Linked DNA regions of Bombyx mori. The protein of the gene in region 2 interacts with the protein of the main gene of each other region in a pairwise test. Links are inferred from orthologs where the notes say so. Each region holds a gene or a part of one and is shown on either strand. Other genes may lie near its edges. The genes, in order: protein phosphatase 1 regulatory subunit 3C, serine/threonine-protein phosphatase PP1-beta catalytic subunit and protein phosphatase 1 regulatory subunit 7.

What was found.
Region 1: the proteins of serine/threonine-protein phosphatase PP1-beta catalytic subunit (region 2) and protein phosphatase 1 regulatory subunit 3C interact in a two-hybrid assay, tested with the Homo sapiens proteins (2 studies listed by BioGRID and IntAct). The link is inferred for Bombyx mori from reciprocal best matches to the Homo sapiens genes PPP1CB and PPP1R3B.
Region 3: the proteins of serine/threonine-protein phosphatase PP1-beta catalytic subunit (region 2) and protein phosphatase 1 regulatory subunit 7 interact in binary tests that used the Homo sapiens proteins (3 or more experiments, as listed by UniProt). The link is inferred for Bombyx mori from reciprocal best matches to the Homo sapiens genes PPP1CB and PPP1R7.

The regions. Positions count from the first base shown.
Region 1 is NC_085130.1:10,291,339-10,302,545, reverse strand, and holds protein phosphatase 1 regulatory subunit 3C, read right to left. Parts: upstream 5,981-11,207; 5' UTR 5,922-5,980; coding exon 5,064-5,921; 3' UTR 1,333-5,063; downstream 1-1,332. UniProt on the Homo sapiens protein: Acts as a glycogen-targeting subunit for phosphatase PP1. Facilitates interaction of the PP1 with enzymes of the glycogen metabolism and regulates its activity.
Region 2 is NC_085124.1:8,358,661-8,368,334, forward strand, and holds the end of serine/threonine-protein phosphatase PP1-beta catalytic subunit, read left to right. Parts: intron 1-448; coding exon 449-640; intron 641-1,852; coding exon 1,853-2,004; intron 2,005-2,795; coding exon 2,796-2,930; intron 2,931-3,007; coding exon 3,008-3,106; 3' UTR 3,107-4,356; coding exon of another isoform or gene 4,357-4,413; 3' UTR 4,414-4,437; downstream 4,438-9,674. Other genes in the region: uncharacterized protein LOC101737498, read right to left, coding at 4,446-4,776, 6,677-6,886, 7,336-7,448. UniProt on the Homo sapiens protein: Protein phosphatase that associates with over 200 regulatory proteins to form highly specific holoenzymes which dephosphorylate hundreds of biological targets.
Region 3 is NC_085109.1:2,514,830-2,526,031, forward strand, and holds the start of protein phosphatase 1 regulatory subunit 7, read left to right. Parts: upstream 1-4,786; 5' UTR 4,787-4,924; coding exon 4,925-4,928; intron 4,929-5,048; coding exon 5,049-5,292; intron 5,293-5,662; coding exon 5,663-5,791; intron 5,792-6,191; coding exon 6,192-6,354; intron 6,355-7,042; coding exon 7,043-7,351; intron 7,352-8,381; coding exon 8,382-8,547; coding exon of another isoform or gene 8,548-8,555; exon of another isoform or gene 8,556-11,202. Other genes in the region: uncharacterized protein LOC105841298, read left to right, coding at 631-798, 881-1,112, 1,496-1,783, 2,576-2,802; putative nuclease HARBI1, read right to left, coding at 3,242-4,003, 4,095-4,376. UniProt on the Homo sapiens protein: Regulatory subunit of protein phosphatase 1.

The DNA.
Region 1 (11,207 bases), on a different chromosome or scaffold from region 2:
AGCCAGAAACTCAGTGGGTGTTCACCCGTCTTTCGTATAGGATTAGGAATACTGTCTAAAATATTAATTTTAAAAGATATTAAGGTCTTTATTTTTTTATTATATGTATTACAGAAAAGGCAATTAAGTATTTTATTGTTTATTCATTCTGAAGTACTCCATATCGTTATATAAATATCTATATCTTCTATATATATAAAAATGAATTGCTGTTGGTTAGTCTCGCTAAAACTCGAGAACGGCTTGACCGATTTGGCTAATTTTGTTCTTGAATTATTTGTGAAGTCCAGAGAAGGTTTAAAAGGTGAGAAAATATAAAAAAGCTCGGAATTAAATAAAAATAACAATTTCCTCTGATGTGTCCCCCGTCGGACGGATTCCTTTTGTTTGTTTTAAGTTTAATTTTATACAAAAGTTTAGGTCTTTTATTTATCGATTGAGGCACTACGAAGTCTGCCGGGTCAGCTAGTATATATTAAAAATCGCGTACGTAATGCAATACTTTCGCTGTTACGCTCAAACGATTGATTTAATCACCAATTAACAATTTAACGATGTTTCGATCGAATATAACGCTAATGTAAGTCTTAGGTAATGTTTTTTTTTGCCTACCTCATCTGGTAGGTAAGCTCACGGGCTCAGCATGAGAGTTTTTTTTTTATGGCTTTGTTGGGTGGACGAGCTCACAGCCCTCCTGTTGTTAAGTGGTTACTGGAGCCCATAGACATCTACAATGTGAATGCGCCACCCACCTTGAGATATAAGTTCTAAGGTCTCAGTATAGTTACAACGGCTGCCCCGCCCTTCAAATCGAAACGCATTACTGCTTCACGGCAGAAATAGGCAGGGCGGTGGTACCTACCCGCGCGGACTCACAAGACGTCCTACCACCAGTAAGATTTGCTAACACTAGCCCTAGCAAGAGCAGTGCTTCGCTGAATCTACCACCGGATCGGGATTTATTTTTTATTGCCTTTGTAGGCAGACGAGCATACGGCCCACCTGATGGTAAGTGGTCACCGTCGCTCATGGACGTCAGCAATGCCAAGGGCAGAACCAAGCCGCTGCCTACCAAAATCCACTGAGAAGATCCGGCGAGCCGGTTGTTAACCAATGACTGTCGTTTTATTGTATAGGGTGAGAACGTAGCCACGCTGGGGCGTTGACCTCACGCGTCATTTGTTGTTACATTGCGTTGTCAACTCTGCTAACATTAATGTAACAATTTACTTGATTTATTGATGTCCAAGGTTCCATTCGCCTTGCCAACAATTTTAAGTAATTAAAATTTTTAAGTAACCTCTTAATGATGACAAAAAAAAACAATCAAAATTATCTTACAAAAATTTATTATAAAAAAAAAATATAATAATAAAAATACAGTCTTCGTAACAATTCATAAAATAATAAGTAAATAACATTTTAGATTGTATCTTGTATTTCTTTAAAATATTTCATAATAATAATAAAAAAAGGAACATTGTGTGAAATAATGAAAAAAATAATAATCAATTATTAGTAATTATCTTAAACTAATATTACATTCAGATGTATTTATTTAAAAAAAATTAATATTAACGAACAATATTTATTTATTTATTTTATAACATTCAATATATCTATAGAAAATATCTATAGATAAATTGAATTTGGATTTGTTCAATCGACACGGGCGCTCTAACAGATATGTTAACAATCTTACTTGACTGGTGGTAGGACCTCTTGTGAGTCCGCGCGGGTAGGTACCACCACCCTGCCTATTTCTGCCGTGAAGCAGTAATGCGTTTCGGTTTGAAGGGTAGGTGAACGTTTGTAACTATACTGAGACCTTAGAACTTATATCTCAAGGTGGGCGGCGGCATTTACGTTGTAGATGTCTATGGGCTCCGGTAACCACCTAAACCAGGCTGTGAGCTCGTTCACCTATCTAAGTTATAAAAAAGTGCAGATTTACGTTACAGCGTTCCCAATAAGCACCTCAATTACTGTCTCACGCCACAGCCGCTAACCTTAGAACATGAGGCGCTCCCTCCTGGCTGAGCCTTTGCTCGCCCACCTGTCCTGGTGAAACTGGAAAGGCCACCGGCCAACCAGTAATCTTTCAAGCATAAAAAAAAAAACATGAGGTTAAAGACCCAAGAACAACGCTACAATCAAACCGTTCTCAAACGCGACCTCCACTCGTAACCTCCAGAATGTCAATTAAAACAGATCCTCCATTGTTTCATTTCACTTGAACACATTAATTTTCGCTTTACTGACTCAAATGACTTCAATATGTCATTACGGGTATAATTTTTACATTGAATATGACAAGATCTATGTAAATAGCACGTGCAGATCGAATCAAATGAGAAAGATCTGTATTAGAACGAAGAGAGCACATAATTAAGCCTTTTAGCGCGAATCGTCGATAGATCGACTCTCTAGTGATGCGTATAAAGCGCAGAGTCGAAATACCGATTATTTGCGCAGTTTGATTATTAGGTATCGAACTGCACGGACGTGTCTTAGCGCGCGAACTTATAACGATTTTTTAATAAGGCAATAACATTTATAAATAACCATTTAAAATTATTTTGCTGCCAATTTAGCAGTGATTTCTTTTTTGTATTATTTTCTCAAAAAATCTTTAGCACGTTCTAAAAAATATGTATAACTAAGCTCAGCAATAAAATAGCTATATCAAAACAGTTTTGTGAAGAATTAAATACTCTCGCTTTCAACGAATATGTTTACAAAATTACACAATTACTTTCGATTTACGATAATTACATTAATTTCCCTGACGTTTTAAATTGAATTCCCGTGTTATTAGTCGAAATAACACGAAGCCATTACGTGTTAGAATCGCGGCAAGAGCCCGTCATTTAACAAGGGAGTCAGTTAGGGTGGCGCCACAGTAGCAAATGGAGAGATTTTAGAATGAGCACCATAAACTATTACAGATACTAAATTAAGAACGAAAGAAACTTCCTATGTGAATATCAATAAAAATAAATAGTTGAGATTTTAAATATGTATTCCATTTTTTTTACTACACAAGTCACGTAAAATATTAATATTTTCAACTTAGCACATATCGCTCTGTTTAAAACTGCTATATTCATATAATTTCCACTTGCTACACTAGCGCTGTGTCGGTGAGTCTTCCAACAACAACGCGCTGTTTACAGACGGACAATTTATCAACTTGTCCCCTATACAAGATGGCGCTCCTTACTTCTACCTTGCATAGTTTCTCAAGATCGTATCGGAACATTCAGTTGGCTTTTTAAATAAAATCATGCCAGGGAATGTGATGCAGTCATAGATAAATCTCATAGATTTGCTTCCCAAAATGCCCCAAATCAACATTACAATCCGACGATCGCGATTAGAAGATTTTCATCTGTTTTAACTAAAAATAAAGCGTGCTGATTTTTTTTATTTATTCCTTTTCACGCATCTTATAAACATAACCAACATTGAAAATATCGAAACTCGAATCTTTTAGACTCCATCGTGCCGCATTGCAAAATTACAATCATAAACAGCGTCTTTAGAAAGCTTGTGTAAGCAAACGAACCGCTTTCGGAGTTTTCTTCAAGAACGTTCTGGTATAATTTTAATTTCAGCTTAATTTAAAGCTTTTTGGGGACATATTTTTAATACACAGGTACTCTTACTCTCCACACACCAGTGTAGTAATCTGCGCTTGACAGCTGCCACTTTTGACATATGTCATTTTTAAATTCCAGTGATTTGAGATCGCTACATACTATGCTCGCTTAGTTAGACGCAGCTGAAGACGTATCGACATAAGAGGTTACATACCTACTTACATTAAATCACAAAGTATATTGATTACAATAGTTTATTTCACGCACCGTCTCACTATTAGGATCGATTAAAATCATGCATTAAAATTCAATGTTTTATTGTGCCGATTCACCAGATCGTTTAAAATCCTGCACGTGAATTTCTCCAATAGCATTCGGCCAATCATGAGCATTCGTGAACACAAGCGTAAAGTAGCTACATGTTTTAAAACGAAAAAAAAATATGGTGGCCTTTGCCGATCCCACTGCCTTCGGATAAGCAGCGTTATAGATTACACGCCCGTATAAATATTCCACTTTATAATGTCATAATTATTTATATTTCAAATTAATGTTTTACAATTACAAATAAAGATTACACACCTCATTATGGATTTTAAAATAAAAACCCGCAGAACTGTTCGCCTAGCATTATTGCATCACTATTTTGACGTGTGACATTCATTTAATGTCATTTTTTTTAAGACATAAATTAATGTAATGTCAAATTTAGTATTTTTTTACATTATTCATTGTGTATTTTTTACGGGCTTATTTTAATGTCGAAAACAGTTTCCGACAAAAATGGTTAAATAATCATAATGATATAAAAATAAAAATAAATCATTTTTAGACCAAACAATCTAACATTGCCTGATATCGAACGATAAGATCTTTCTAAAATAAAGCTATGAAATTAAAAACCTTATATGTAAACGTTCTGTTTTAAAATTCGGTTCAAATTACTTTGTTTACTGATAACATAAGCATTTAAGCATATTAAACATTCATACCAATTTCGAGCAAATTTCACTAAACGCGAAATCAGACTTTTGGTTAGGTATGCGTCCCTTATAAAATTATTAGGTAACTTGGAAACACTCGAATAAATACAATCATAATTATCGCAAGCTCCGCTCTGATAATAGCTGGAATAGCCCCTTAGGCCACTAGCGATTAGGTAAAGAGAAATAAAAAAAAACTTAAACAGTTTCAAAACACAATCACGTACCTATTATCGCCGTGACGAATCTACATTATCGTAATTACAATTGTAAAAATCAAATAGACCAACTTCTAGCAACACTATGTGAAACTATTATACAATAAAACGTTTTATAGATTTATAAAAAACAGCAGTCTTCGATTTCTCGTTCGTTTTAAATAATCTAATAATTCAGACTTACGTTGACCAGGAATAGTGCGAATCCATTAAAAAACTGCACTTTTCGATTATGGCACAGAAATATCGATACAAAACCTTCACCAATACGGTGTATTTTCACTTGATTCGGTCGATCTCGACGTCCACGAATTGCCGTATTTAATTCTAGCGCACGATATCGCCGGCGGGTTCCTCGCCGATGACTTTTCGATCGTGTAATTCCGGCCCTTGTTGTTGTCCCAATACTCGTTGCCCTTGCACCGGAAGCCAACGCAGAAATCCAGTCTTCTCGAATGTATCGGTAATTGTAAACGAAATCCGAAAGTGTCGTATGTCGATTCCTTCTTCTGATTCAGCGGCCCCATCTCGACGAACGCGCAGTAAGCGTCTTCGCTGGTCGCCCATCCGTCGGAAGAAGACCGAACGAACACTTCCTTGCTGAAATCCAGGTTTTTCACTTTCACCGTACCATCGACCGCGCATTCGTTGCTCTTTACAATAACATTTTCTAACGATACACAGTCCTCCGTGATGCGCCGCCTGAATTCCAAATAATCCGAAGCCGGTTGAACAAACCGAGTCTCCCAAAGATCGGGAGCTTGTTTCGGAGGTGGCTTCCGCTCTGGCGGTGGACTTTCGACGACCTTGAGGGCCCAGTACGGCGGCACATGTGAGGGCTCCGTCATGATCTTGACGTGCGCTAACGCGAAGCCACGGTCGTCAGCGAATACCACTTTTTTTTGTTTCTTCTCCGTCGGCATACGGATGCAGGAGCGCGGGGCGCTTTTCAAAGTCAATTGAACAGGTTTCAACGTTGCAAAGCATGGCGCGAAATCTCGCGTCGTCAATCTTGTTGGTCTTCGCAATTGTGGCGTGTAATCAGTTAAGAAGCCGGCCGGCGGACTGCGCCCGTAAAATAACTGTTCGGAAGCGATCATATCTATGGCGGCGCACATCTGACACGGGACGTACTCTTTCGAAAACGATCGATGCCCGACTGAAAGCGAGTTATCGGGGCGCCCCTCTTTTAAAACGTCGGGCGCGTGATACAATACGGTGACAATGATTTCAATGGAATATTCCGGACTCCGGAGTTTATTTACGTTAAGAGAAATGGGTCAAGTATTAATGGGCAGACGAAGTTTTAGCGATGTTGCAATTCATAAAAACATTTAATGTATTCACCCTTTGTTTCAGGGTCATCCGGGATTTAGTGAGTGTAAGCGTGGGTTTTTTTATACTTTTTGAAAATAATCTTTGTTATCAGACGTCGTCCTTCCTTTTTTGATTTCCTTAAATTACTGATATAATTAGTTATACATTATCTAAAAAAAAAAATTGAAGTTTTACATCAGGCTAATAATTATGGACTGCTCGAATTTTGATCGTCACACATACATGTAATAAACTATACTGAGACCTTAGAAGTTATATCTCAAGGTGAGTAGCGTATTTACGTTATAGATGTCTATGGGCTCCAGTAACCAATTAACACCAGGTGGGTTGTGATCTCGTCCACCCAACTAAGCAATAAATAAAAAAATACACACTCGATTATAATAGAAAGAGACAACGAGTGAAAGTTAAATGGAAGAGGTGCAACATTTTTGATGTATGTCTAGATTGCAGTGAACTCCTATTTCAAGTTGCGTTAATAATGCTCATTTCAAAGTGGCCAGCTGATAATCTGAACCTGGACCTTTTTAGGAAGGAAGACTTACTGGTGGCTCTGAGCCCTTTACAGTTTCACCAAGATAGGCGAGCGAGCACGGGGTCGGCCAGGAGGGATGTAATTTGATAACAGTTACCTGAGCGCCTCCGGAAATGACCTAACAGCTCGAAGGCTGGAGGGAGGAGGTTAATAAAGTTAAGTAGCCATCTATACGATGGGCCTTAAGCTTAATTACCAATCATAAGCAATAAAAAATTTGTTTCCGAATTATTTTTAATTTGTTTTTATCGACTAAGCTTCAATTGGTGGCCGAAGCTAATGGACATTAATAATGTAAATATCGTCATCTAGATTGTGAAAATCACTAGTAGACGCCCTTCAGGAAATCTTGAAAATGGTACTGAACCAGGAATACCAGCTGCTGCCTTCGTTTTTATGGAAACCATCAAAACCAAAACAGTGTATAAAACAAAGTTCCAACAATGTATTTTCCAATCGGTTAACATTTTATCTTGTTCGCATTCCAATCGGCAAAGGTGCGAGGTCATGTGATAAAGTAAATCAGGTTTGCTACAGTATTTCCAATGTAACAATGTTGTTATTTGCAATACGAATGAACCGTTGCAATTACTCTTCGAACTTCACGATGAGTTTGACGCGAAACCTATTCAGCTTGCTATGTTTCTCGCTGGATCTTCTCAGCCGGTCGTAATTGAGATACAGTAGTATACATGCGCGAAGAAGCTGCTCTTGAACTGTCAGGTCTCCCTCGAAAGCGTTTGGGTAGCTGTTAGGATAACCCGATTCTCCTGGCTGAGTCCGTTCTAGTCCAATCGTTCTGGTGAAGTTGGAAACTTTTTTAAGCTACCCACGGTTCTTCTATCCAAATCATTGCATGTAATGAGCAGGTCGTTCGATGGAGTTATCAAACAATTAGTGCAGTTCGAACTGTAGACAATAGATGGACACATTCAGATTAGTGACACGCTGTGATGTATATAGTTGCTCACCTAGTGCAAGATACAAATTACTTGCATCCTAAGAACATGCTATTTATTTTATGGTCAAACAATAAAGTTTCATTGAACAATAAAATCGATAAATTAATGATTTATTTATCTGTTTACAAAGTTCGTGCACATTAAATAGTTTTATTGATAAATTGTGACTATATTTAGATTGTCGGAGAGAGGCGGAAACAAGCGATACGACTCTTTGACTATGTGAGTTCCGAGATTTGACATATTACTGATTCTATTGTTGGTTTAAGTGAATTTACTTAATAGGAATTTCTATTGTTCATTGGTTATCTGTATTCTACTCGTAGAACTTGTGCAGGTTGTTACCGTTATCCGATATTTGCCCAAAAAAAAAAAAATTCTGGTTTCAAGGTCATAAAATAGAGAAATTGCTGCTTTGACCGGTTTTGCTGCGACTAATAAACGCCAAAAGGCTGAAATTCTCGGGTTTTGTCAAAAATATTGTGATATGACTATTCTGATGCTGCTATTTCCGATGGCCATGCAAAGGACACAAACACATTATTGCTATAACATGCCATTCGTCTACATTTGAATATTGTGTAATGACTTTGCATAATACTGGTGTTTATAAGCTGTATTTTGACGCATTTCGATTATCTTGAAGGAGCACATTGTGGACGACAAGAATGACCGACTAAACAAAACTGCATTTTAGGTCTGCCGCATGTGAAAGCTGAATAATATACGAAACTGCAATAATTATCGCGCTGCACAGCTTCGATTCACGCTACCCTATTTTTAGTACCGATCGGTAAAAATAGACGGGGTCGTTGTTTTTGCAGTTGTGCTCCTACTTGCCTGCCACTACTTGAGATTGAATTTATGACGTCACGTGGACTTGTAATTAATCGAACACCTGAGGATGTTGGAACCACAAATGGTCTTAGCCGTATGTGGGGGGGACACACATGTACTGGTGACGCGAAAAATTGCAGTTAAAGCATTTATTGACTCCGCTCGCTAGTCATTCTGCAAAAGCCCAACGGAATAGACGAGTGTACCCAGCTACTCCGCAATCACCGTCTAAAGCGCATGGTGTGAGACACCTTACTTAAAACGGCCTAATATCACCTCCCTCAAATTAGACTTGTAGCTTGTGTAAACTGTAAAAATATAAGTGCATTGCTATAGTATATGTAAAATTGCAAGTATAAATAAATATACGTCATAGTTTGGCTCAACAAGACTTTGATTAAGCACGCAACCACATCCTTAAAATAATCAAAACTTCATAAATCAATAAATATTACGTGGGGAATTTATGAAATCTTAGTTTTTATTTAATGTTTGCCCTTTTCTTAGTGCGATTCAGGTTTCTAGATACCTTATTTTTTGTTAAATTTTCCACAGAGACACTATCAAGCAAACTTACGAAAAACACAAGCTTATTACGCTATGTCATCATATGACTCAAACTAAAAATCTAATCTATTCTGAAATTGGTTGGTATGTACACCACGTGTAATTAGTTTTCAAATGATTCTTTTCCACCTGATGGTTATCTGGAAGAGATCGCTCTTAGCGATAAGACCGCCATTTGTACTTTTTTTTGTATTTAATGTTTCGCATTGTTTCTTTTGTTGGTGTACAATAAAGAATACTCTCTCTCTCTCTCTTTCTCTCTCTCTCTCTCTCTCTGTCTCTCTTTATCTCTGTCTCTTTCTCTCTTTCTATTGAGCTCTAGCCTGACGCGGGAATATCCGTCATCTCCTGTCAATATGGACACAGTACATGTCACGCGGCCTTCACGGGCACACTTCTCTCCGCCGCGTACGATACATGTAAAGCATAACGCAAACACGCTAAAGACACCGCGGCAATATTCTATTTGCATGCGCCGCGTAAGAATATAAACAAGTATTTCGATTTGTGACGCGAACTTGACGAGGTAATGGGTTTTAAAAACATCAATTTGTCACGGTAAATGTAGTGATGGCGGCAAAATTACTCGTCATATGCGGTTATAGTGTCATTTTTCCTACAGTAATAAAAGGGATCGGATAATGCGAGTACCATGTAAATAGCAGATACTGCTTATCACTTAACGTTGACTGGGTAGGTTTCTGGTGTATGTTTATCAAATTATAACATTTTCAGTTAATTAAAAAATATATTTACGGAGGGGGAAGAGGTCGACCGAAGAAGACATGGATGGAGTGTGTGATATGAGAGAGAGAGTGTTGAGATGACGGCTGATAGAAAAGAATGGAATAGAAAAATTCACTGTTTCGACCCCACCTATACTCTATTCCAACTACGAAGTTCCTTTTGACACTTCTTAGAACATAACTCTTCACGTTTCGCATAATCTTTATTAATAACCATTTTTTGCGGTAAGCAGCGACTTAGCTCTGCCCCTGGCATTGCTGAAGTCCATGGGCGACGGTAACCACTCACCATCAGATATGCTCGTCTGCCTGCAAGGGCAATAAAAAAAATTGTTCATGGTCGTGAACATAATTTAAAAAATACACAATCAATCTAAATCATTATACAATTAATTCACACACACAATAATATAATAATCTGTCTCATAGAACTTATTAATAATTAGGACTTATTAATAATAAAGAAGAAAAAGAAAAAAATACCACTAACAATCATTGAACAAAATGGCCGTCGCCACTTTTTCTCCATTTTTTCGTATTCGCCATCCGATTTGAAGCTACACTGAAAATGTCACTGATCAGGAAATTTAGTTAATAAATTACAAAATAACATAACTGAAAAATATTAACAGGAAATTTGTCAGTGAACTAAACGATTCATCATATCGGCTTTGGTTAGTAAGTACAATAGGTATGCTGTTTGAAATTCCCAATTTTCTATCATTCAATTCTAAATCATGGACACAGCATAAGGCATGCGAAAGTCACTAATCCGCGCCGGGGTTACGGCGTGATAGTATGAAACTAGTTATGTTAAAATATCACGGAGTAACACGCGGTGAGACGGTGATCGTGCCAAAATTATAAGGAAATAGAAGAAAAATAACATATAATGAGGAAATAAAGTTACACAGGTGCGAAGAGCTCGGGATCAGTACAGAGCTGCAGAGGACTGTGTCTGTAGTAGTGTAGTATAGGACTAGAGGCTAGATGTAGGTCGGATCTATGTCTGTTTGTGTACGAGAAGAGCTCGGGATCAGTACAGAGCTGCAGAGGACTGTGTCTGTAGTAGTGTAGTATAGGACTAGAGGCTAGATGTAGGTCGGATCTGTGTCTGTTTGTGTACGAGAAGAGCTCGGGATCAGTACGGAGCTGCAGAGGACTGTGTCTGTAGTAGTGTAGTATAAGGACTAGAGGCTAGATGTAGGTCGGATCTGTGTCTGTTTGTGTACGAGAAGAGCTCGGGATCAGTACAGAGCTGCAGAGGACTGTGTCTGTAGTAGCGTAGTATAGGACTAGAGGCTAGATGTAGATCAGATCTGTGTCTGTTTGTGTACTAGAAGAGCTCGGGATCAGTACAGAGCTGCAGAGGACTGTGTCTGTAGTAGCGTAGTATAGGACTAGAGGCTAGATGTAGGT
Region 2 (9,674 bases):
GGCTCAGGGCTGACATGGCGTTAAGTCATTAAGACATCACAATGTAAGCATTGCCACTCGCCTTTAGATGTGAGGTCAAAGTCTTTATAAACTACAGAATATTGTCCCATCATCCAAACTGGAATGTATAAGTATTTTGCAGCAAAAATATGATGGTGGTAACTACCGGTGCAGATTCACTTACTGAAAATACACATTTTTGTGGGCTTTTTATTTTATTATATTATGTTATTCTCTTATCATGGAAGTTATTTGTGAACACTTGTTATTTACATATTTACTAAGTAAAAATGTACATGCATTTGAATGCTGGCATAGTTGCAACACTTGATAAGAGTACATTAGGTTGTTATCAGATAGGTCATGGATACTGCAATTAATTTTACTTCAATATTAGGTTTTATAACTGCTTAAGTTTAATTAATAATTTTTCTTAACATTTACACAGGTTTTTATGACGAGTGCAAACGCCGATACAATATAAAACTGTGGAAGACTTTCACGGATTGCTTTAACTGCTTGCCAATTGCTGCTATAATTGATGAGAAGATTTTCTGTTGCCATGGTGGTTTGTCTCCAGATTTACAGGGAATGGAACAGATCAGAAGAATAATGCGACCCACTGATGTTCCAGATACAGGTAGGTAAATTAGAACAAAAAAAATTATGATTTCACAGATGTTGTCTGTAAAGTTTATGTCAAGTAAAAAAAGCGTCATTTAAGGAAAGCCCTGGTTATTAATCCTTTGCGTTCAAGATTTTTTTATGCTGAAGCAATATTCAGATTATGCTTTGGCTTCACATTGGTTAGGTCACAATGACTTTAAAACTTTAACTCAAAATTTCACAATTTACAATGTGAAAAAAATAATTGATTAGGTCGCAAATACAAACAAAAAAGTAAATTATGATACCAAAAGTAAAACAAGGAACTGACAGCAACTCGATTATTATTGTACCAGCAAAGAACAGCGTCACTGAATGTAACAGTCTTACTAAAACACGAAATGTATACAAGGCCACCTGAGTGGAGCTAGCGAGTACGAAGGCCTGTTCAGAAATTATCTAATTTAGTATACTGCATACGCGACTTTCGTTTAGAGTTTGGCTATCAGTGCACACAGTGTGCCAGATTATATAGTTTTTTTTTTGTGAGAAACAGCGTCTTTCCTCGGGTTAATTTACTCGCCGAGCCCTTCGTCGCAAGCGACGGGTTCGACTAGAACGATGACCAGTGCTTGAGTTACCTAAAAGCACCGTTAGTGGATCGGGCGGATCCGAAATGCCGTGATTACATGGTATTTAACCGGCACACGATCGTGCTTCTTACCTCCTCTGGATTATGCATGTTAAGTTGGTTGCTAAGAAAACCACAATTTTTCATTAGCCAGTCTCGGTGGAGTGGGATGGATTTGGTAGGAGACTATAAGAAGCCTTTAGTTAAAAAAAATAACATTGCTACATGAACTACTTACACGCTCTTTAGCAGTGGTAAAATGACCATCAATGACTCCTGCGGTGTTAAGCTGCTTGTACGAAACTGCCATTGCGTCTCCATGACTAGAACTTGATACCGATCCAAGTATAAAATGAGAATATAAGGCGTTATCTCTGTGACTATTAGTCGATTTCTTCCAAGCTACTAAACTGAAACGGCTTGTAATAACCAATGTCGTACTGTGTTTTGCTAGTATTATTTTACGGTGCAGAACACCGACCTCGTCATAAGATTAAAAACAAAAGTTGAGCAGTTAAAGCTATAACATAGAAAGTACCTACTCGTAAATTATCATTTCGTGTTAATAAAATTAGTAAGTATATTCCTATTCAAAATAAATAAATTCGTCTGCAGGATTGCTTTGTGACTTGCTGTGGTCAGATCCCGATAAGGATGTTCAAGGTTGGGGGGAAAACGATCGCGGCGTCTCGTTTACTTTCGGACCCGACGTCGTCAGTAAATTCCTCAACAGGCATGATTTAGATTTGATTTGCCGTGCTCACCAGGTAAAAATATTCACTTAATGGCTTATTCTAAGTATATCTAATTTTTTTCTCAAATATATAAATGTAATCTGATAGGCCAAGCTGTCATATTTAGGATTTCGATCAGAGGACCTTAAATATTATAGTATATTTATTGGAAGACACAAGACTTTAAGCTAGTTCTACCTTGTTACTTGTCTGTCTTAGGTATATTTCTTGCTTAATAGTTATATATGTATATGACAAATTATGTCTATGCACTCCTTTCTTTTATTTATTTTTCCTACATAAGCTGAGAGCCTTGAGAGGCTATTTCAGCGTAACCTTAACTAGTAGGTGAGCTCACGGGGCTCAAACCTGACGACGTTGCTAACACGAACCCTAGCAAGAGCCGTGCTTCGCAGAATCTACCACCGGATCGGAAACGCGACCCACTGAGAAGATCCGGCGAGAAACTCAGTGGGCTGTGTCTGAAGGTTAATTTACTAGTCGAGCCCTTCGTCGCAAGCGACGGGTTCGACGAGAACGATGACCGGTGCTTGAGGTACCTAAAAGCACCGTTAGTGGATCGGGAGGATCCGAAATGACGTGTTTGGGGCGACGTCGACTGCTTTCCATTCTGTCCGCAGGTACGGGAATGTAGTTACCGGCAGCCACGATGAGAGGGTTCTCCTCGTGTCGTGCCGCCTTATCGAAGTGGCGCATCGATGCCGACTGAAGATACTTACTGATGGATATCCACTCCAATAACCTCTTAAATATGGTGCTAAGTCAGACAATTCAGACTAATTAAAATGATGTTTTCGTTTCAGGTGGTGGAAGATGGATATGAATTTTTCGCCAAACGAATGTTGGTTACTTTGTTCTCTGCACCCAACTACTGTGGAGAATTTGATAATGCTGGTGGAATGATGTCTGTTGATGAAACTCTAATGTGCTCCTTCCAGGTAACATGATTACCATATCAAGAACTTTCAGATTTACCATATGCAGATGAAGTAGTAAATTATCATATCCCTTACAGATTCTTAAACCATCTGAAAAAAAAGCAAAATACCAGTACAATGGTATAAACAGTGGAAGGCCAGCTACTCCTCAAAGGTCACCACCTAAGAAAAAATAACTGACATTTGGTATCCAGTGTGCTGCACAGTGAGAGGAATGCTACAAATAATTAATTATATCATGTATTATAATTATTATTATTAGGTCATTGGACAGGGCCGGACAATGTGTCTTAAATTTGTGAAATATATGTTATCAATTACTTGTGCCTTCTTGTTTTACGTTTACACAATATGAGTGAAATTAATTTGTTTTGTTAAACTTTCATGAGGATTAATGAGTAGACACGTTCGGCAATGTTACATTGACATGCTTTTTCGATCCCTGAAGTACTACCTAGCAGCCCTTTAATTAGTACTGAACCCTATTGTGTTATCTATCGTCTACATGTTATAGTCAAATTGTTTCGTATCATTTATCATATTTTATCAGAAAAGTGGCAGCTGACTTCGAGATGCGGGCATTGGACACTGAAGCGTAATTACATTTACAAAATAATCTATTAAGTAGAGGATCGGAAGCACATTTGGTTGATTTATTTTATATCTAATGTGCCTATGAATGTAAATTATATATAAGTCTGGAGTGACGAAAATTAAATGATTTGAGAAATTCTTGTATGGAATAGGCAATAATTAAAAAACAATGTTCGTCCATAGTTGTCAACATGAATTTTATGTTTGTTGTAGTTTAAATATTTATTGATGGTTTAGTCCTTCTGTGAAGTTGGCCTAAACATGCAATTTACCTTCTTATATTTGTCATAGCATTTAAGTGTTAGTACCCAGGACTCCATTGCAAAAATATGTTTAGGAGAGAATATCCAGTGAAATAAAATTTAATTTGCTCTCAGTATTATTCTTAATGTTAAAATAAGTAGCAGTCAAAATTATAGGAAAGTATATGATCTCCCCGGCCGAGGCTTATTTGTCAGTCTAATTATACTGTAATGAAAGTCTCAAATTTAATTATTTAAAATAAAGTAGAAGCAGTGTAGTCCTCGCAACAATAGTGCAATTGCTAAATATTATATAAATTATATGCAGGTTTTGCATTGTACAATTTTATTTTTAGCTATGTTAACATTTTTCATTAATAAATATTGCTATTTAAACTATTTGTTTATTTTGTTTTGACATTCTGTAATTTTCACAAAAAATGCTAAACTTTTCACATTCAACATTAATATTAAAGGCAATTTATTGTATGTCTACTTACAGTATTTTAAATTAATAATATTTCATTTTGTATATTAAGATAGTAATGCAATTGCTATTCTCGATATCTTTTGCTCTGCACATCTTTCACCTACTCTTTGAAAAATTCATTGCTAGACTTTATTGTAACTTGTTCATGTACAAATTTCTGAAATATATTTTATTCAATCTATTATGCAATCACTTTATTTCATCAAAATGTAAGTCTTTGTCTGTCCAACTTTCTTCTTCTACATTTATCTTATTGTTTATTATATCACTTACAAAAGTATCATGACATTCTAACTTTTTGCTGATTTTACTGAAGAAATCTTCATTTTTTTTTTGATACTTCTGTAAGTCCAGTTGTAAAGCCTTTAAATAGCCTCTTTTGGCAGAAATAACATTCTTCAACCTATTGACCCTCATTTCATATTCTTTAGCTAAGGATTCAAGTAGAGACTTTTGGTTTTGCAAATTTTGTACATCACTGGCTTTCATTTGTGCTTTCACATCTCCTAATTGTGGCCTCCTGAAATATAAAACAAATATTACTACTAACATTCGTAGTTAAAATGCTAAATTTTCAATATATAAATGTGAAAAGATCGCCTTCATAAATATAAATCAAGCTTTATGTAATGCAAGTAATAATTGCAAAAATATTTGCACTGATTTGTGTTGTCTCTCTTAATAAATTGCTTCTTCGTTGAGCCTAATGTTATTAGAAAAAGTAGAAGTAGCAGCTACTACTTAAATTTAACCCTTTTTTTATGACGAAAGTGCAACTGCATCAAACAGAACATAAGAGGCAATTGTAGCTCGGATTGAATGTGTGTTAAATAATCTCAATAAAAAAATCGGATTTAATTCCTTCCCTAATATGAGACAAATTTTAAATTTTTGCATTTCTCTTATAGATATGAAGTCACTCGTTTTCCATGTTTAATTTTTCTGAATTGGGACATGGTGATAGTAGATATATATCATTAGATACATAAAGATGAAATAAGGGAATAAGTTTGTATGAACATAATGAAAACTTTGTTTCATTGAAAATAATATTATTTCATGTCCCATATCAGTCCTTAGGACAATTACACCACCTATTTTTTAGTTTACTATTGTCTCAAGGTGGGCAATTAAAACACTTGTATCTATAAGTTCCAGTAACCCTATGCTATGAGGTAGACTGTGTTGGTTTGCTTATTTTAGGTGCGATGGATTTTTGGCAAAATTTAATCAACTCTGCGAATACACTTGGATGACAGCCACTAGAAGATTTTGAGTTCTCGTAGACACACCACATTTAGGGTAGTTTTTTTTTTTGTATCCATGGGGAATCCCAGTCTACGGATACCCTGCCAATGGGGGTCGGACTGGGTTATGTCGGACTCCGCGCCAAACCCGCCCAGCTTAACGACTAAACCCCAAAGAGCTCCTCCACTCCAGCTGGGCCGGGACCCAGGTACCGCCATGTGCGCGCCATGGAGGGTAGACTAGGGTTAGTAGAATCCTTGAATACTTCAGTCACATTACAAGGAAGAATGGAATGGAAACCTCGCGAAACTCATCGTGACCAGTACAGGCCTTGAGGGTTTAACCCAATACATTGGTCTGACCAAATCCACACTGCTCTTGACTGTACATTTCACAACATCCTCCACACCCGTTTATCTGCTGTAAGTACTAGCTGTGTAAATTAGTTTTGAACAAGGGAGAAGTATATTATATATTATTATGTAAAATGTATGGGTTTAATTATAACCAATGACGGGATTCAAGGACTATGATACTAGTACACAACCATAAAAGGGATTCATTTTAAAATTTTATGAGCCTAATGGTTAACCAAAATGATTACTGTCCACTTTGCATGAAATAAAATTAATATAATATTTTTATTGTAAACAAGCATAAAAACAACTTCAACACTAATCAGACTTCAGACAAATGTTTTTATTGTTAAGATAATGTTTTAAAGCAACTTAAAAGCGGGTGTATACAATGCATTAGAACAAGAGCTTGCGCTGGCCAGACCTTCATTATTTTATAAAAGCTAGTTTCTCTGTGCATGTCCACAACATAGATCAGAAAAAAAGAGCAGCTAAACTACAGAGTTTGGCTTATGGCTAATTGAACAGATCACAAGTCCAATACTTTTCGGTTAGCAATTATTAAGTTTAATTTACTTAATTTAATATAATTTATTTCAGGAAAGTTAGTATTATTTCTATTGTACCATCAAACTTTTGGAGATGACATATTTGTAAAATAGTGTTATTTTGGCTTGATTGCTATTGATTTTGATTGCAACAAACTAAGATTAGTGTAATAGCATATCTGGCATTAATTAGCTGTCTAATATAGATATAAACCTATATAATCCAAATGGCACCTTTGCCAGGCACAAAGTATTGCGTTACACATACCATAATTTTTTGCAGTCTCCAACATCATTAAACTTCTCCTTCTGCTTTTCAAGAATTTCTAATTTTTCAGGCATACTTTCATATTCCCACATATTACTGATTTCTTGTACCATTTCATCAAATATACCCTGTTTTAAGCAATTAAACATGGGTAACCATTTTACACGTCGCAATTTTGCTTTAGGTACAGTTTCCAAAAAATCTTCATCTCTGTGACATAGCAATTTAATGAATTAATACAATTCACACATTTTTACCAAATTAAACTAGGTGACATTACTTTTGAATCAAAATTGTGCTTATTATCAGCAAATTGTAGGATTTACTGTAGGCTACTGTTACTAAGTTTACGGATTTTTCTAGCATTTTTTCGCTTTTCCTGCCTATCCTAATTTACCGAATCAAAGCTTTACTAATTAGAAGGGCCTGTGAGTCAAAACCATGTACAAAATAGAACATGGATAAAGTTGTTAATTCCAAATGCTGTGGTCAAATAAGTTACGCTTTTATTTTTTTTATTTTAAGCAATTGTTCCTAAAAAAGATATTATTAACTTGTTTCTGCTTGAAAAAGAAGTCTTTTAATTTATTATTTAATATTTTCTTATATTATTTATCAATTACTAAAATAACATATCAAGTGTGTACAATTTTAATTACTTGACAAGGTTTACGATGTTTCCGAATTCTTTCAATATGACGAGATTATCGAAAGGGACTTCAGAATTCAACATTTCAACATCGTTTTCAAGATCTGCTAAATTTTCACTCATCTTTATTTTTTCAACACTGATTGCGATTAAAATTGATCGAAACACTTAATTTAAAATTCACATCACTCAAAATTACAATAGTTTGCGCAATAATCACAATTATTTTATTTATTTTGTTTGGCCTAGCGTTCGTTTGTTTCAAACTTTTTTTAAAATATTTTTTGAAAATAACGAGCCTGGAGTGGCCAGATTTGAATTTATGATCCTCCTACATTCTTGTTTGCTCTATGCTTAGTTAAAATGCAACTATACGAAAGCTGCTGATAATACCAAACTTTTTAAAAAATACTAAGAAACAAATCGGGTTAAGAAGATTTGACAAGAAATTTTGGAATCGTAGAGAAAATTCACTAAAAATACCACGATTTTGTTTATTAAAGGTAAAAAAAAATAAAAAAAAACATCACGATTACCTACTATATGGCAATCAAATTCTACTGTCTAGTACTACTTTACTACTAATTTTAGGATCACTTTTATTGAATAATTAAGCAGATAGTGTCAAAGGACTTATAATATGTTATTTCATTTAATATGTAATTATTTGGACTTTTAATATTTATTTGAGATACTTCATCCAGAGATACCATATCATATTTTTCCTATCGAACAGATTGTTCAGATGATCTTAAATCTTGATCATATAGATCTTTTAGTATCTCTGAGTCCAAAGAGGCATTTTATCTACAATGAATTCTTCTCTAAGACGTTTCCTGAGCGCTACTTGGGTATGTCTAGAGCATTTTCGATGTATATAAGTAACAGTGACGACTTACGACCACTTGGGCCACGGCCTTGTTTTAAATTTACCATAAACACCGAAAAATCTTACATTAGTAGAAAATTCTGAATATTCATATTTTTTGTCCGAAAATAGTATTACTGTTTGCTAAATTTTTTTATGTGCTACAAAATATGTTTTTATCCCCATGGAGTTAATACAAACTCTATGGTTATCCCTAAATAAGGAACCAAAAATTTAGATTTTTTTTAGTACTGGTAGCACTGAACAAATTAAAATAGTTTTTTCCGTTTCATTTCATTGAATTCATTCCATAATAAAATTAATTGCAGACAAATTAACTTTAAAATTCAAAATAAAGTTTTAATTTATTTTCAGGGTAGCAAAATGTATTTTGAAACAAAAAACAGATTAAAGTGCCTTAATCTCAAATTATTGATTAATTTAATCTATCTGATCTTTTTTAAATATAAAAATGAATTGCTGTTCGTTAGTCTCGCTAAAACGGTAAGACCGATTTGGCTTATTTTGGTCTTGACTTATTTGTGGAAGTCCAGAGAAAGTTTAAAAGGTAAACCAATATGAAAATGCTCGGAATTAAATAAAAAATTACAATTTTGTTTTCCCTTTGATGTGTCCCCCGTCGGACGGATTCCTTTTGTTTGTTTTAAGTTTATTTTATACAAAAGTTTAGGTTGTTTATTTATCGATTGAGGCACTACGAAGTCTGTCGGGTCAGGTAGTTTTTGTGAAAAACTCTTTTGTTTTTTTCGGTATGGCAATCAGCTACTTGCGAAGGCGTTGTAAAGTCCAAGCGTACGTATGGTAGAATTATACGGTACGGTACGCGATGAAGACTTTTTAGCGGGAACGCGAGGAGCGACCCTAAATGGGTTTTTTAAATTTAGGTTTATACGTTTAATAATCCTGCTTTTATTATTAGCATCGCGAACTAGTCTTATATCTACATACATCTAGTAGTAAATGTAGAGTTTTTTGTACAGTGACTTAAAAATAAATATCAGTTTTTTTTATTGCTTAGATGAGTGGAAGAGCTCGCAGCCCACCTGGTGTTAAGTGGTTACTGAAGCACATACACATCTATAACGTAAATGCGCCACCCACCTTGAGATAAGTTCTAAGGTTTCAGTATAGTTACGACGGCTGCCCCACCCTTCAAACTGAAACGCATTACTCCTTCACGGTAGAAATAGGCGGGGTGGTGGTACCTACCCGAACGGACTCACAACAGGACCTACCACCAGTAATTACGCAAATTATAATTTTGCGGGATTGATTTTTATTACACGATGTTATTCCTTCACCATGGAAGTCAATCGTGAATATTTGTTGAGTATCGTATTTCATTAGAAAAATTGGTACCCGCCTGCGGGATTCGATCACCGTTGCATCGCTCGATACGAATGCATCGGACGTCTTATCCTTTAGGCCACGACGACTTTTGAAAGTATTTGGTATTTTTG
Region 3 (11,202 bases), on a different chromosome or scaffold from region 2:
CATCCGATGATGCTCGAATATTCCTCCCAAACTTACTCGAGTTTGGTATTTTTAGTCGACCATTACAATATTCCTCAACTGTCCTCGAGTGAGGTAGAAAGGTGCTATTGCGTCACCACGACAACATCAGTTTGAGGAAAATTTGATCAAGCTAGCATCAAACCTACAGAGTTCTGTAGTTTATGGTCATTGTTTAATGTCAAAGTCAAGCTACCACTGTCTGTTTGACACTAGACGCACCGAACTTGTTTGATGTTTTAGTTGAGAGACTCATAAATACGTGCGCGTGCGGTGAAATAGAAGGTTTTCGTTTTTCTAACCCATGATTAATAATTTAGATTTCGGTTTTTGAATAATAGCTCCTCCAGGAACCCGGCTTTGTATTTTTATTCGCTGTTTCTTTGTTGAATTTGATTGCATCGTCTTTTTGAAGTGCTTTTCCACAACCACCGGTTTATTATTCAGGTAAGTTATGATTGTGGTGTTTTATTTATCAAATAGTTAACTTTAAGTTAACTCAAATGTTTAAATATTTTTGTCCTTTATTACTCACTGCCTAAGCAAAGTTTTTTATAGATTTTACGTGAAATTACGATGCAGTAAATTATTTGTCGTTTCAGTTTTTCTATAATGACGTCCAGGCAAGTATTTAGCGAAAGCGAGAAGACTTGCCTACAAGAATTAATTTTAAAATATAATCTGCACAAAACTGCGACCATGACAGCTAGTCAAAACACAAAAAAACTTTTGTGGGTACATTTAACAGAAGAATTCAATTCAATTGAATCAAATGCAAAGGTAGATATTTATTTATATTACTTGTATCTGATTTTTACTTGTCTATATATACCATGCTATTCTTATTTATCATTTGTTTTAGCGAAGTGAGGCCCAGCTCAAGAAGTGCTGGGATAATTTAAAAACACGGAGGAAGCACTTTTTGGCTAATGAAAAGCGTCAGAGAATGAAGACTGGTGGCGGACAGTGTATTCCAAATGAGCCACAGCCTGGTAGCAGCAATGAGACCCTTATTTTTGCTGAGGTTCTACTGGATCAGACTGATGTGGAACTCAGGGGTGTCATTGACAGTGATACCATTTACAGTTCTGAAGGTAAGTGAATCTTAAAAATTTGAGATAAGCGCTTCAATCTCACATGCTCTCACAAAAAACAGTAAGAACGTGGTGGCATGGAGGGTCTTTTGATTATTGTTATATATCTATATGAGTTGAACTACATGTATTACTGTGCTAAAAACTAGATAAATAACATGCGCGACAATACCTGATAAGATTTTCACTCAAGAAACCATTTTAATAATCATAATGAATATACCACATTCTGATTAAGAACAATATTACTTTAAAATTCTTTCTTTCCTCTACTCCAACTATCACTTTTATTCTACAAATCATTGATTGAGCTAGAGCACAAGTTCATTACTTAATAATAAACGCAAGTAATGTGTAGAACTATTGATCTTGTATTTTTTCAGGAAATGTTGCAGGCACCACGCCTATGCATTACAGTGTATCATGTCGTGACACCCCACAACGTCGTGATACTCCACCACGTCGTGACACTCCACCACGTCGTGACACTCCACCAAGTCGTGACACTCCACCAAGTCGTGACACTCCACCACGTCGTGACACTCCACCTAGTCGTGACACTCCACCAAGTCGTGACACTCCACCACGTCGTGACACTCCACCACGTCGTGACACTCCACCGCGTCGTTCTGGGTCCCGGCAGACTGACTGTGGTGCAGCCTACTTAGGAGGTAAGTTAAAAATGTAAAAAAAAATTCAATTCGAAAATGTCAGAACAACCTTGAGAGTGTATAAAAACAAAAATACAAATTTTGTTGTTGGCCTACATTTGATGCAGATATCACATACCCGATCCTGTGGACTGAATGGTAAACAGTCGACGTTGCCTTAAGCACGTCATTACGAATCCTCCCGACCCATTAACGGTTCTTTTAGGCACCACAAGCACCGGTCATTGTCCTTGCTGAACCCGTCGCTTGCGACGAAGGTCTCGACGATCGAATTAACCCATAGACAGCCCACTGAGTTTCTCGCTGGATCTTCTCAGTGAGTCGCATTTCCGATCCGGTTGTAGATTCTGCGAAGATCTTGCTAGGGCCAGTGTTAGCAACACACCCGGCTTGAGCACCATGAGCTCACCTACACTTCAAGGAGAAGCCTCTCAAGGCTATCAACATAGGTAGGAAGAAAAAAAAAGATATCAGTGAACAAACATAAAAAAAAATACATAAAAGTTGTGTCACAAATAATGCAATTTGTAAATCTAATCTAAATATATCAATATCTTTTTATAACTTCACTTTAATTGTATTGAATCAGATGAATTGACTATCACATTTTACTCAGTCTAATTAATAATTCGACTATAGTAGCTCAATCCAATTGTGGGATTTGAAACCACCCATTAATACCTTAATTACCACTAAAGCTATCATCACTTCAAAATCATAAATATACATTATGTAGATTACTAAAATGTTACAAATATAGATGTATAACAATTGCATTTTATTTAATTACAGGAGGGAATGTGCGCACCAGGGTAATTCAGGAGGAATTTAATTTTAGAAAAGAATCTTATGAAAAGAAAGAGAGAAGAGAAGACGAACTCTTTCAATTCCAAAAAAAGGAAAGAGAGTGGATGATGAAGGCAGCCGAAGAAGTATATCTAAAAGCGAAGGCTGAGAGGGAAGCTGCAGAGGATATTAAAAAATATAATCAGGCTAAAAGAGATTGTAGTGAAAAATAATTTAAATAAATAACTCATAATCACATTGACTTTATTTATTAGATAGTAAGCAAAATATGACTCTTATGTAGATAAATAAAATAAGGAGTTTCAAAAGTCTAACCTCGTACTATTTACTTTTTTGGTAAAAAAATTATCAAAATTAACAAAATCAAATTTAATCATACATCTTCAAAACAAATAATACTATCTGCATTACAATAACGGTGCTCACTGCTCGGTTCCAACTTATATACCCATATTAGCCGGACAACTGATAACTGTTAGGGTAAACATGTTCTTGAGTCGAAACTGTGAAGTGGTGGAGTGATGATCTGTGCAGGGTGGCTGGCAAGAGCTGGATGAGGGAAGCCGAGGATTGTGCTCAGTGGAGAGCAATTGGAGAGGCCTATGTCCAGCAGTGGACTGCTGTAGGTTGATGATACCCATATGAGAATTTTTAACTGAAATGCCTAGAAATAAAAGCCGATCTTATAATACTCCCTCTGGAAGAGTCCTGAGTATTAGGTACTGGGACATTTTCTAGCTCAATTTCAGGGTTCAGCTCAGGTTCATTGGTCATTAAACAAATGTTGTGTAGGACAGCACAAGAGACTATAATATTACATGTGTTTGGTGTACTGTTTTGTAATTTTCTACACAAACAAGCAAAGCGTCTCTTTAATACACCATTTACACGTTCTATAATGTTTCTCGTTAATAGATGTGCTCGATTGTATCTGTGTTCTGGGTCTGTTTGAGGATTGAGTACAGGAGTGTACATAAAGCCAGTCTGTGCATAACCACTGTCTCCGACAAGAATGCCAACTAAATCGCCTTCTTCAAATCTCAAACAGCATCTGCTGTTGTTAAATATGCGCGAATCATGCACAGATCCAGGCCATCGCACAACAATGTCGTATATTTCCATTTGCGGTCCACATATTATTTGGACATTGATAGAAAACCAGCCTTTTCTATTACGAAAGATTTCTCCCCTTGCTCTGGATGGATTTTTTATTGGAATGTGTGTGCAATCAATACATCCAATTACACCTGGAAACCCTGCAATTCGGTAGAATTTTCTTTTAGTTTCAACCCTTTCATTTAATGCAGGGAATTTAATAAATTGCCTGGATTTCAAAGCCAATCTCTTAGAAATGTTTGCTACCGTTTTTGATACTACGGATTGAGAAATTTTGTGCAAGTCGCCACAAACAATCTGAAAAATAACCATACCACATGAAACCAAATGAAAGTTATAAATTATAAATATTCTATTATGTAGACACAAAAGCACATTATGCACGAACCTGAAAATTGCCTGTTGCGTAAAATCTCAAAGCAATTAGCACTCGTAATATGGGCGTTAAAGGTAGTCCACGATCGTTTTCATTAATGTTGTTAGTCAACAAAGGCAGCAAAATATGCACAACCGAATCTTTGTTAAGCCGGTAACGTTTTCGGAATTCGTCGTCATCGTAAACTTCCAACGGGTTATCTGCATCTCTCAAATACCTTCGCGACGGATAATTATACACTCTGCTATCAAAAATATAGTTAATAAATTCTTCAAAACTGCTCTCAGAAGTCATCTTGTATTAAACGCTGTTTTGAGGAACGTTCAAGGTACGTCGCGACGTACCTTAACTTGACAGTTCGGTCACTTCACTCCGGTTAGGAAATTTTTCCAAGGACGTTTGAGTGGAGTTTATTTTTACGACTAATCATACCAAAACGCGCGTTGGAGGTTGAGTCGAGTCGAGTTAGGCTCGTGTGAACGACTAAAGATACGGGTGTTAGCTTCTGTCCTACAATGCGAAAACTTGCCTATTTCGTTGCGTTAGAAACAACTGAATCGGTAAGGCATAGTCCTTCTAGCCAGATAAGAATAGTGACCTATGGATAAATTAAAATTCATTACGCAAGGTTTGAAAGGTTTGAAAGTTCATCCTTTTCTTGGCAAAACAAAAAACTTGGCTCTATAGGCTTCGTTACTTTTGTCAACCTGTGGCATAGATGATGCACTTGCCTGCCACTTATTATGAAAAGAATTTATGCCATAACTTAAATAAAAAAAGCTTTCTCCTTTGTGAATTCAGAAATTTCTTCAGACGTATACAATCACTGGCAGACACCAATAATGTGTAAGTAGTAAATTACTGCAATTAAATAACAGTTCACACAGATGATTGATTGATGATTTTCATAGGTCCAAATAAGTTGTACAAAATTTTTGGGTAAACATATAATTGTTGGATTTGCAGCTCAGCAAGATGCACATATGACTAATAACGAAGCAGATGATGTGCCCATAACAGTGAGCAATGGGAAAGAAAATGATGAAAGGAAGGATCGGGAAGGGTCTGCCTCACCACCGGCGACACCACCTCCGGCCGACGAGGATACTAACGAGATAATTTTAGTCAACGAGGAGACCAAGGAACTCGACTTAAATCACGGCCGTATAGGCAAGATCGAGAATCTTGAACATTTAAAAAAGCTAGAGAGGTATAGAAAATAAACTAAATGTCTAAATCAGGCATTAATCATTCAAAAACTTCTACACTCATTAAATTTTTAAATTGCGACTTAATGAATGCATTGTCAAGAACTTTAAGTATCCTTACAGATATGTTTTTCATATCCTTGTTTAATGAAATTTTGTAAATATGGCAGATACTGTCACTAAAATAAAGTGTACCCTAATGTACATTGCTTCTTTAAATAACTAATTTATGATCATGAGTTTGAGCATGTTATAGATAAAACCATTTGCAATGTTAAATTAATTCCTCAGTTCAAAGCATAATATGCCCATTCGCTTTTAATGGAACTTTATCAATGCAGTAGCATCTATGACTCATACTTTCTTTTCCAGGTTATATTTGAGATGGAATTTGATAAAGAAAATTGAAGGCTTAGAAATGTTGCAGTCACTGGTAGAACTGGAATTGTATGACAATCAGATTGTTGTTATTGAAAACCTTGATAGTCTTGTTAATTTGGAGTAAGTAGTAGTTTGAAGATTATTCTTCGACATTTTACTTGAGTTACCACCAATATAACTACCTACAAATATAAAAATACTCATTTGTAGAAGTACCTTTACCTGATTTCACTGCTTAACACCCTGTAATTTTTGGGACATTTGGTGTTCTGCACCTGTTGCACCATTGCTCTGCCAAGTTAGGAGTCAATATAAGTAAGTTGTAAATTAAAAGATGGGAAGAATGCAAGAGTTTCTGATTTTATTTTGAATTGTTTTAATAATATAGTATATATTTAATAGTTTATAGTTTGGTTTAGCCTTTTTATTTCCAGACGGTTTTGTTTCTCACATTGTGGTTTCTAGATTTAAACACTCCAGCTCTCCTAAGAATTCTGTTACATTAATTCTCTTGTTACAGAATATTAGACCTATCATTCAATAGGATAAAAGAGATAACAGGACTCGAAAAGCTGCTGAACATCAAGAAATTATTCCTCAGCTCAAACAAGATCACTGAAATCAAGAATGTTAATCATTTACCAAACCTTGAACTTTTGGAGCTGGGCGATAATAGAATTAGAGTATGCGTGACAACTTCTATTTTTTATTCAATAGCATAATAAAGTATAATAGAATCAATAGCACCAGTACAAATATACAAGATGTATGGCAAAAAGTTACAACAAGCAATGAGAGTTAGGAACTACACTAACAAGAAGTTCTGGGCAATGTAACACAAAAAAAATCACCATCACAAATGTAGATTTTGTTGATTTTTTTTGAGTGCATACTGGTGTGCTACTACACATACACATACTGGCATGCTACAATTAAAAATAGATTGATGTGCGCGATCGATTCGTTTTTATTTATGTGTATGAAAAGGCCAAATTAAGTTTAGTATAGAATTGTTAATTATTTCACAATGAATTCTCTTAAAATGGAGCCTTACAGGAGACCAATCTGGAGAAATACGTATCTATGAAAAAAGAACTACAAAAAATTTAAAAAAAAACACTGCTCATAACAACAGAACACGCATAAGATTGTGTTTAAGAGAGATGATTTTTAACTAATTTGAAGAAAACACAATTTCGAGAGCATGCATCTCAGCTCCTAGTAATTTAATGTTGTTTTTTCATTAATTTAGACTGTTAATAAATTTCTGATTCCGACAGAGATTCGTTTCTTACAACTCTTTATATGTATTACTTCACATAATTTTTTTGTATAATATATATTAAGAGTAGGTATTTTGTATTTTAACAGGAAATAAAAAACTTGGAAGGTTTGAGGACCCTCAAACAATTATATTTGGGTAAAAATAAAATAAGCAAAATACAAAACCTTGAGGATTTGACCAACTTGGAGATACTGGTTCTTCAGGCAAACAGATTAACTAAAATTGAAAATCTCGAACAATTGAATAAACTAGATCAACTCTATATCTCAGAGAATGGTATAACAGCTATAGAAAATTTGGAGAATCAAACAAAACTTCAGACCTTGGATCTGGCCGTGAACAGGATCACTGTTATAGAAAATGTTCGGCATATGAGTGATTTGGAGGAGCTATGGGTGAGTTTTTTTTTTTTTAAGCAATGGTTTTTCTCCAATTTTTGCAAAAAACACATTGAAGCATAAGTTAATTGACAAATTAATTAAAATAAAATTAAAATTTAGATTAACTAATGTTGTGAGCCCGCACTGGTACCGCCACCCTGCCCATTTCCGCATTTTAGGGTTTGTACTATAGAATTGAACCATGTACTAACTATAAAACTGAGACTTTGAACTCATGATTCAAGTTGACTGGCGGCATTGGTGTCAATAAGCTCAGGGAATCACTTAACACCACAAAGGCTTAGAGGATCGTTCATTAATTGAAACAATAAAAACAAGGCAATAGAAAAAAAAAAAATGTATATCTACGAGCAATACCGTCTACCGTTACCATAAGGGCACACGGGGCCCGTGCCCAGGGCCGCCATTCTCAGGGGGGCCCGAAAGACCGACAATTTCTCTCACACGTTTATTCTCAAAACATTTTTGTCGGGCATATCACACTTTTTTCACAAATCAGTAATCAGAAGGTATTTACAAGGCCTACCTATACTATGCCTATAATAGAAGATTTTGCTTAACAGAAATCCCGAAAGAAACCGTTATCGAAATCGTAACCAAAAAACCAGCAGCAGTCTAATATCATTAATGACATATATATCATACTGTATTTGATTACCTATAATAAATGGTCTCATACTCAGTAAAAATATGTTATTATAATTCGCTTTTTTTACTTTCCAAAAGGGCCTCAAATTTTTGTGTGCCCAAGGGCCCCATCCTAGTTTAAGACGTCCCTGTCTACGAGTTTTCCCTAATCTGCTGTTCAGCAGATTATTATGTTACGTAGTATCACAATATGTATAAAGGAAAAATGAAATGAGCAAAATAGTTTTGAAAGTAAAATAATTAAATCACTTTGGGCCTTCTAAAAGTCCCTAAGTCTAAATATCCTTTTAAGTAGATTTAAAGGTTCTAACTTATTTATTGTAATGCAAAATTTTAGTTGTGTTGTGCATTCAATGAAAAGCCTTTTTTATTTTAGTTAAACGACAATCAAATAACAGAATGGTCATCGATAGAATATTTGCAACAAAACAACAAATTATCCACAATATATTTGGAGAGGAACCCGATAGCTTCAGATCCAGCTTACAGAAGGAAATTGAAGATATTGCTTCCAACACTACACCAGATCGACGCGACACTGTGTAGATAAGAATTTTATTTCTTGGTATTGGGATGAGAGACGATGCGGTAAAAGAAATATTAGTCTACTGTTTGTGATCACTCATTTGTTCCGTGGAGTCTGTTAATGTAGAATTGTTCTTCTTTGAATTCATTGACTTCTAAGATGTGGATTATTATCCAATTAGAAGTCTTCTATAAATCACTTTATTTTTTTAACAGTACTGCATTTCAGGCTATGTATTAAGTAACATAGCCTTGCAATGTAATACAATGAAATAATTTAATACAATGTGTCTTTTATATTAAAATATATTGTCTCAGAGGAATTAAAATCACTTCGTCTCTTGTCTCTTGTAGTGTATATATATTTGCACATGTAATTTAGTTGGAATTGTTGAATTTGAGTTGGATAAATGTGCGATTTTGTGTACTGCTTCAGTGTCATAGTGGCAGCATTCTCCGTTTTTGTATGTTATATTAAAATTATCTAAATAAAACAGAGTAATTTAGTGTAGTTGTCTAATTGAAATATTTATTGGTATGAGTCTATATCGACGCTTGAAAGGCAAACGTGACTAAGCGACAATGCGTGAACTTTACAGTAGACTAATTTAAAGTTAAAATTAATTTAAAATATACCTGAGAAATACCTGAAAAAAATTATATTTTAACAAATGTAGCTGTAGGATTGAAATGATTTTAATAGACCTAGAAATATATTTTTTTGCGCATCGAATATGGTTATTGCCTATCATTTATGTACAAAGCAGTTATTGTCGCTTAGTCACGTTTGCCTTTCAAGCGTCGATATGGATATTTGTGTTAATAAGTCACAAAGGAAATATCTTAGGTAACAAATAGATAAAAATCATATTTAACTTAACAAACAAAAAGTTCCGATTCTTGAATTTATTGTGTGTGTTAATAAAAATATATGAAACGAAATAAGTATTACATCAACTATTACAGTTTGACTAAAGCGACAAATATGTATTTTATTATTAAACAGGACCACTATATTTTAATTACAAAAAAAATAACACAATTTTTGAAGACCAAGCAGTAAGAATTGATGAATTGCCTGTATGATCTTTGCTTTGGTATTAAAATAATGAAACAAAATGTTACAATCTATATCTTTGTTGTCACATATATATTAGTTATCATAAATACAAAAACTAGTGGTAGGACCTCTTGTGAATCCGCGCAAGTAGGTACCACTGCCCTGCCTATTTCTGCCGTGAAGCAGTAATGCGTTTCGGTTTGAAGGGTGGGGCAGTTGTTGTAACTATACTTGAGACCTTAGAACTTATATCTCAAAGTGGGTGGCGCATTTACGTTGTAGATGTCTATAGGCTCTAGTAACCACTTAGCACAGGTGGACTGTGAGCTTATCCACCCATCTAAGCAATAAAAAAAAAGATTTTAATTTATACAGGACATACCATATTGAAACAAAATTATGATAATTAATTTTCACATTAAGATCAATGTTTTAATATTAAATTAAATTTTGCAGTGAACTTGCCAAGGTAAAACCGTCCTTCCATGTTTATAGACAATGCCTTAACAAAAGACGCCAAAATCGAATTATTTTTGTTCGAATGTGTACGATCACCTATTGCTTTGTGTTGAGCAATTAACTTGGTGTCCAAGTTAAGAAAGATTTCTAAAAATGTTCATATCATTGATTTGTCTAAGCACATATTAACGTAGTAAATTTTCTGTTGCATATTCATGTATAATAGTTTTTGGTAATTAAAACCTAGTAGCTATGTATAAAAATAAATCTCAATTAATTTTGTATTTGTTATTATACAAATAGTAATAGCTAATGTTGGTACTTTGTAGTTATGTGTTGATTTTAATATTATAATTGAACCTCGAATTTCCACTAGGATAGTCAAAGTTACGTACGCTAAGGTAGAGATGCGTTTTAAGTAACTAAATTATTTTAGAAAAATAGAAAATTTTAAAAAATTATAATTTAAATTCTCATTGAGAGTTTCTTTTATGAATTTAACTAAAAAGTAATTAAGTGGAGCATTACCTACCTCTTATAAGACTCAAATTACCCAAGTGCCTACATTTACTGTAGCTTATCCAATTTTTAACTTTACTCGTAAAATATACCCTGTGTCTCTCATTTTGTATTGCCCGAGAAGTGCATGCTTTCGGTACCTAGTTAAACATTGATACGTCATATTATGATTGTGTTTAAAAAAAATTCGTAAACAGCCTTAAAGGGAGTTTAGCTCCGAAGTATATATTTGTTTATGTTGAAAAATATTAATAAAGTAGGTACCTAAAAGTTTTTCAAAGATCAACTCAAATGTCACATCCAAATGTTCTCAAACTCAAATGTTCTCATAAATGTGTAGTTGAAAATTCGTATTATTCTTATTCTACTAAGTGAGGTCAGATCAAACCTTTTTATCTCATAATTGACCGCCAGTCGCCATTTGTTTATTATTGGTTAGGTTTTTGTTATTGATTTTGAAGGCAAATGGGCATGCGGACCCCTGATGGTAAATGGTGTTATGGACTTCATTGCCAGTGGCACAGCCAAGCCGCTGCCCAACGCCCGTGATGAAGTAAGACAATACAACATTGTAGGTAGTTACCGAAACCTACCGACCTGTTGAAGTCAAACTGTCTGGTGGTCGAGAGGCTGC